2 linked regions of the Tribolium castaneum genome follow. The protein of the gene in region 2 purifies or fractionates together with the protein of the main gene of each other region. This does not show direct contact. Links are inferred from orthologs where the notes say so. Each region holds a gene or a part of one and is shown on either strand. Other genes may lie near its edges.

What was found.
Region 1: the proteins of Fmr1 (region 2) and lig purify together in Drosophila melanogaster (affinity purification with western blotting; 3 studies listed by BioGRID, with this or other methods). This does not show direct contact. The link is inferred for Tribolium castaneum from reciprocal best matches to the Drosophila melanogaster genes Fmr1 and lig.

Annotation. Positions count from the first base shown.
Region 1 is NC_087396.1:16,161,367-16,165,119, forward strand, and holds the start of lig (protein lingerer), read left to right. Parts: upstream 1-932; 5' UTR 933-1,060; exon of another isoform or gene 1,061-1,118; intron 1,119-1,467; 5' UTR 1,468-1,506; coding exon 1,507-1,594; intron 1,595-1,645; coding exon 1,646-1,839; intron 1,840-2,737; coding exon 2,738-3,212; intron 3,213-3,753. UniProt on the Drosophila melanogaster protein: Acts in the nervous system to mediate the control of copulatory organs during courtship.
Region 2 is NC_087400.1:7,272,940-7,276,692, forward strand, and holds the start of Fmr1 (RNA-binding protein FXR1), read left to right. Parts: upstream 1-1,272; 5' UTR 1,273-1,401; coding exon 1,402-1,419; intron 1,420-1,441; coding exon of another isoform or gene 1,442-1,509; exon of another isoform or gene 1,510-1,572; intron 1,573-1,623; exon of another isoform or gene 1,624-1,753; intron 1,754-3,465; coding exon 3,466-3,579; intron 3,580-3,753. Other genes in the region: WD repeat-containing protein 44, read right to left, coding at 167-486, 534-793, 845-1,106, 1,152-1,272, 1,442-1,509. UniProt on the Drosophila melanogaster protein: Polyribosome-associated RNA-binding protein that plays a role in neuronal development and synaptic plasticity through the regulation of protein synthesis of mRNAs.

The DNA of each region.
Region 1 (3,753 bases), on a different chromosome or scaffold from region 2:
AAGTTATAACCGGAATTTTTACAATTTAACAAATTAAGTTGGTCATTGTTATCATTAGATAAAATTTTGTTGATTAAATTAAATGGATAATTATTAATTTATGAAATATATTTGGTGATGTTGAAATTTTCGGGAAGTAATTTTGGGTCATGAGACTTAATTTTTGCTGAAGAGGGTGATTTAAATAAAAATTTAAAATACGTAAAGAAGATGTTGGTTTAATGTGCCAATTTGTTCTAATATTATTTTCAGGATTTCTAATAACTTTTATGTTTTAAAAATATAGTAGGACGGTCGGTGGAGAGAAACAAGAGACATCAATGGTGGCTAAAGCAAGAAAATCACTTATTCCAACAACTTTAATTGTTAAGATGCATTGTTTTTATACAGTTTTAAGCCACTGTTATAATTTTTATAATAAATTATTTAATTGTTCCTGCCATCTACCTTAATTCAAAACAAAATTGAAACTTGCGCTGTTTATTTTTCTGTATTTTTTTCTATTAACATATTTGTGACCGTCTAATGTTCTTGAGATTCTTTTAACAAAGTTCTTCCGTGATTCTTATTGACGCTCGTCCATGAACCAGTTCATTTACCTTACAAGAAGTACAAATTGCATACAAAAACATGTATCGGAAAAACAAAACTCGAATGCATAAGTTACAAAAAAGCAAAATAAGCGAATAATATTGTTGCGTTTTAATGAAACGTTATAAAATGAAATAAATAAAAGAACAAAGAATAAAAAAATGCAGGCACCGTAGCCACTTCCGCGGCATTTCCATTCAAATTAATCAAGTACAAAAAAAATGACTTCACCAGTTACAGCTCAAGTTTAGGTTTAACTGTCTTACAGCTGTGGCCAAGAATTAGAGTTTTTAGTGATAAACAAAATATCAAAACGGAAATTTTGTATTTATTTTGTCAAATTTGAAAATCAAAGACAAAAGCGTCAGTCTCGGTCGGTAATTTGGCGCGCTTTGGCAAACGTCCATCCGCCATTTTCGTGATCACGTGACCAGTTACTAGTGCGTTGTGGTTTTACTGAATTATACAGGTATGGTTAACGTTGTCGTTTTCGATTGATTTAAGACCGTTAGTGAGTGCTTGTTGAGGTATGGTGTGCAATTTGGGCCCCAGCCCCCGATTTCCAGCCCTCGATCGAGTCAAATTTCTCCGAAATCGCGTAATTTCCTCGTTCTGTTTGGTTGTCATGAACTGCTTTACAAGCTCTGAAATGGCGTCCCTCCACATGGTATAAAAGCGGTCGTCGGCCACCGGGGGCTTCCATCCCGCCGTGCGCGCCCCAATTTGCCCCCAGAGCTGCTATTTTTCTCATCCGCCTCACGCGCGGCTAGCCCCCTGATGCCTCTTTGTTATTGCCGGAAAATCCAGTTATTTCGCAACGGCGGCGATATTTACTCTTCCGAAAAATATGTTACTCATTGAGTTTATTTTTTACAGATAGTTTGTAAATAGTACACTGTACATACTGTACAAATCATGAGTTCGAGCAATCGAACCACCTCTAAAGGTGGGAAAGGGTCAAAGACTGACAATAAAACACACAAATCAGATAAATCCGACACAGGTGAGTTCGGGGGGCTTTTTGGCAATGCGGGGACTAAGATGCGTGTCTCAGGGAAAGGCTCAGACAAGCAGCAAGCAAGCAGAGATAACACACATGCAAAATCAGAAGATCCTTTCATTAAGGACAAAGTGAAGAAGCTGATGGAGATGTCTCAGAGGTCTGAAGAGGAGGTTTGTCTTGCTCTACATGATTGCGACTATGATGAAAACGCGGCCATGAACATGCTTTTGGAAAATATGGGGCAAGTGAGTATTGTTTTAGTTTACTGCTCTTAAACTGATTCTTTTCGTAAATCGTGTAGTAAATAAATTAAAAAAAAGTTTTGTAGTCGCCCTACTCAAGCAGTTTATAGCGTTTCACAGAATTCACGTCTTTTCTGCCATTGTTTTGCTGGTGTCGCTAGTTGCTGTCAAAAACTCAAAACAAAACATTATTAAATCATTAAACAATAGGATATCTGATAAGCATAAGTAAACAACGTATTCTTCGATTTTATTGTATTGTTTTATTTAATAGTGAACTACGTAAAACTACTATCCTATCGTGTAAACTGGTAATAAGTAACGGATACTTATGGGAATTCTAGAAATTCTATTTTTTGTTAAATGTATATTTAAAACGTAAAATGTTATCTTAAACTTACTGAAATTAGAGAAAAAGGGAAAGACAGAGTGATAAAATATAAGTAGAATGTGAAATGAGAGTGGTTTATGTTTGAGGTTGCATTTTTTGGTTTTAATTTAGTAATAAAACTTCTCACACAGTTGTAACCTTAACTCGTATTATAATAATTATATGTTACATTTTTGAAAAAATAACCATTAAAATTTGGTTATTGTTAATAACTAAAAATTGTTTATTTACTATTCCGGAAATTACATCAATTTGTCATGGTCAAGGCTAAACGACGTGGCATCAACATTTAATGACAATAATTTTTTTCTTCTACTTTTTAATGGGATGTATTTGTAATACCATGGAGGAACAAAACGTTAGTTTTATTTTTTGTGACAGTAGCGAATAAAAAAATCTTAACTGGTTTCTTCCCATGGTCGTCTGGTTCCGTTTTTTAATAAGTATGTATTTTCCTTTCGTTTTTAATTTGGTGTTCGCGTAATAAGAAGTCTGGTTTTGTGTTATCAGGGTGAGTGGGAGACTAGAGTTAAGAAGAAAAAGAACCGCCAAGCGTCCGCCAGCAAGCAGGAAAAGATAGAGGAGTCTGCGGGCGGCGACGATTGGAACGACGTCCCATCTGCCGGCGGGGGCGGCGGTGCCGGCAACGGCAACGAGAAGGACAAACCGCGGAACAAGAGCGGTCCGCCTCGTCTCCACGGCCGACATAATGACAGCCGCGGGTGGCGTGGCCGAGAGAAACAAGAAAACGAGCGTAACCTCGAAGAGGGCGGCGGTGGCGGTCGTGATTTCCACCGCGATCGTCGCGGCAGACCTGGGGGATCGACGCGTGGTCCTGGAGGCGGTCGAGGAAGGGGCGGCGGACGCGCTGGAGGCAGATATCCGCCGAGGGGAAGTCGGAGCAACGCCTATAACAAACCCATCGACACCTGGGATAACTCCAACACGTGGGATAACAGCACGGTGGCCGCAACGAACCACACGGGTAAGATAAGGCGATAGCCGAGGAATCTTCTTCAATAGAAATTTTGATTTATTTTTCTTCGGCGTCTCATCAGGATAATCAATTAATGTATTTTTTTTAAATGAAATATTTTGCTTCTTCGGGAGGAAATAACCTACTTATATGGAATATTTGGATAGTGAAAAACATGATTTTTTTGAAAAAATTATTTTATGTATAACTTTGAATGAAAGTCTATTCTCTGCTTTAGATCATTCGTTTCTTATAATTTATAATTCTTATAAAAAGGTAAGGAAGATTAGGTGTGTTTCTTGCTTGAAATTACGTTACTGTACAATTAGTTTTTTTTAATAAATGCATACTTATCAATCTCATCATACATTCAAAAAGAATTTTTGGTGAAATATTTTAAATTTTCTTTGCAAAACAATTTTTAATCAATTTTCGTTCCTAGAGATATCAAAGTTTTCAGGAATTTGATTACGAAATGCATAATTCAATTTTTATGAGGAAAACGATGGGGAATTTACGTTTAATGTATTTACACTAGTGAATGAAACAG
Region 2 (3,753 bases):
AACTTAGTTTTTTAGATTTTACGTGATAAGGGAAGCATAAATTACTATTAACTGTGCTATTAAAAAGCTTTTTATGAAGTTAATTTAATCAATCAAGTGGTCTCAGGCCCACTTGATGGACATGGTATAAAGCCAACTTGATTGATCATCAAAAATGTATAAATACCTATGAGGTCCCAAACTGTAGTGCCCGACACTTGACCTCGTGGAAGACCCTCTCGGACTCGCTGCTTGGACCACTTCACTCTTAACCTTACCCCCTTCCCCGGCCTTCAAACTTTCATTATCCTGGGGCTTGACCACAAATTGACCCTTCAACGCCTGCTTGATATCCAACGAGTGCCCCGACCGTAGCGTCGAACTCTGCGATTCGTTGCCGGACGGCAGGCGATCGAGAGAATGTTCGAATTCGCGCGTCAAAGACTCAATGGTACTCGCAGGACTCGCCAGGTCGGAGGACTCAAAAGTCGCACTCGATGCAGATTTCTGCAATACCGACTTTAAAAAAAAGATGATAGCGGTCCAAGACATACTTTGATTTGGAGCGCCGCCTTGTTTTTCTTTTTGCGACGTGGGGGAGCCACCGGTGCCACATTTTGATCGTCGCTCTTTTGCGAAGAGGAGGCTTTTGTGCTTGCAATGACGTCGGGTTCTTGTAGCGGAAGACTGGACTTTTCGGAAGTCAGTGTTGCATTGCTGGGGTACTGGGAGATGCCCTTCGAGCTGGGGGTGGAGCCCGAGTCGAGGGAGCTGGAGGAGAGAGCGGATACGGAAACGGCCTTGCGGCCACATTCTAATATTAAATTATTTAGAATTTAAACAAAACCAATCACTGAATTATTACCCCCTTCGGCGATCCCCCCTAAAATTCGTGTGAGCCGTCCTAAAGAATTGATACTCTGGAGGCTCACAGTGTCCTGTTCTATGATACGGAAAGGGTGGGAGGTCTTATTGGAGGCGGCGAAAACCCCCTCAACTGATGATGTTTGGCTGTTGGGGGGCGTAACGTTGCCAGTTTGACAGTCCTCATCGTCGTGTTGCAGCTTCTGTCTCAACTCCTTGAACTTGCGCCGGCCACCAAGCGGTGTCCTCTTCTGGGGCTCAACCTACGCAACCATATGTTTTTGAGGTTATGTAACACCTTCACTTACAAAAACAATCTCATTGACCGACTGGAGCTGTCTCTCGTCGTGACCTGGGGGCACCGTTGAGACATTAGGTTCCGAACTAGCCCTCTGGGTGAGACTTTCCTTGGAGCTTTTCCGATTTTTTCTATAAAATTTTACACGATATAATTATCAAGTGGGCAAGCGAGCATCTGTCAAAGGGCATGTGTTTCAATTGTTTTTTGTTGTCGTGAAGTGTAAATAAAGTGGTGTTGTGGTGGTCCAAAGTGAAGAAATGAAAGTCTTCTTGGAGGTAAAAAGTGCTTGGGGCGTACCTTGGACCATGACTAGGTGTTAGGTCTTCGGCGTCGTAGAATTCCTCCGAGTCGCTGCTGCTGGACATTGTCTCATGAGCGACTCGTCATTTCGGGGCGTTGTCACGGGGGCACTCGCAAATTTCGGCGCCCTACAAAACCAATGACAACGTTTAGTTTAAAAGATAAGCGTGATTACGCACAGCGCCGCTGGGCCTGTCAGTTTGACGAACTAGTCATGGTCACGTTGCGGTGCCAGGGCAGTGGCGGCGCAAGGGGGGCTAACATGGGAACGTTTAACATGTAGCTCAAAGACCGTCTTCAAAGCTTTGTCAAATGTTGCAAAAAAAGGTTAAAAATAATGGCAGAAGACAATCCTAATCTCTAAATGTTTCATGGTCCAAAATCCAAAATCCAAGATGGTTGCCGGGTGATATTTTTTTTAAATTTTGAAGTATCCATAGGAAGTATCGAACTGTCAAAGTTTAAAATGTGTTTTTGTGGAAGCTAAAATGTCTTAAGGCCCTGTTTCTAGTTAAATTTGATCTGTTGCTTAATTATTTTAATTATAAATTGTCGAGTTCTTTTGCATTCCCAAACACACTATGCAAAATTTTGCTAAATCAATCCAAAAAAATTCGTAAATTGAGCCGAAAAATAACTAAATGTGGTCAAAAATAACATTATGCATATAATATTTGGCAATATTTCTAAAAAAAATACTGAATTACGTCAAAAATTGTGTAATTTTTGCTTTTCAGGCAATAAAGCTATGTTTCTGAGCTAAAAACTTTGTTTTTTGTTTATCAACCGCAAAATCACTAAATTATGTATCTTAAATTTTTACCTTTATCGAACGTTTAAGCGCATTTTTGAACTAATTACACGTTTTATGATAAAATTTTGCAACTATTTTTTGAATAATTACACTACTCAACCCAAGTCTTGTCCTTTGAACAATCTGAGTAAAATTTGATTTGGTCTACAGTTCACGAATTTGATAAAATTTTTGTCATCACATCATATTTTTTTTAATAAATTTTTTGTTTATAATTTTATCACTCATGAAATTAAGTTAAGTTAATAAGTTATTTCAATAACTTTTTTAAAACGTTTATCTTTTGTTAGTTTATTAAAAATGATAAAAGCAAAATTTTTAACAGGCTTTGTAAGCTTTAGTTCAATAACTTTTGAGCGGTGTTGCTGTTCTGGCAAAAACTAGTTTACTGCTAAAGTTGTTTATTTCAAAAACCATTCGTTCTGCCACTTTTGCGAACAATTTGTGTTCAATTGCTGAACTTTTGCTGAACTGGACGGTAAAATCGCCTAGCACTTTTTTCATAAATAATTATTTTGCGGTAATTTTTTCAAACAATTAATTACGTTTTTGCTTTTTAAAAATTTGGACCCGAAAGAAGTCTAGAAAGTAGTTAATTTTTTATTTTGTCGAAGATGTGTGAAAAATGTCTGTTTTTGGTGACTGAGAGGATTTAATGATACGAAGATTCTGTGATGAAAGGCGGCTGTGACGTCAAGCGATTATGTCGCTTATTCTTCGTCGCAGAAAATATTTGAAAAAACCTATTGGTAATACAAAAAACAAACGATATTTTCAATTTTTGTTAAAATATAAAACAGGTACAATAAATTGCCAATGCCTACATGGATCTTAAAAAATAGTACTGTGGATTTAAAATAATCGATCCCGGAAAGTTACTATCTCTAAAGATAAATTCCTATCACAAATGTGATGCTTCTAAGCAATGTAAGTGAAAACAAGAAACTTAAGTAGTTTTTTTCTAAAAACTAGCACTTTTCGGACGATCAGAATAACTTAGGACTACTTAATCTTTTATTGTAATAAGGATTTAAGAAGAACTTTTCTAATTTAAGGAGAAATAAAGCAGGTTTGTCTATCAGCTTGTTGAATTATCCTCATTTGCCCCCTTATTGGTGTCGCTGGCGCCGCCACTGCTCCCTTCGGTTTTCGACCAATCCCAGCTCTCCATTTCGTATCTGTCACTCACTGAATTTCTTTTTGCTAGAGTGGCAGCAGTGCAACTCCCTCTCGGCTCAAGGCTGTTTCCTCACCCAAGAACAAAACCAACATGGAGGACCTGGCAGTGGAAGTATGCGGCGAAAATGGGGCCCTTTATAAGGTCTGTACCACACAAAGTATGCTTTTGCCAATCCATCGTTGCGTTCCCGTCCATTGTCCATGTGTCGGTGCTTGAGCACAAGCCTCCGCCACCCCCGTAAACCCCATACTTTCCGAGAAAAATCCCGAAATCTTGGAGTTGCAAACGCGGTTCTTTTGACGCCATGACCATCTG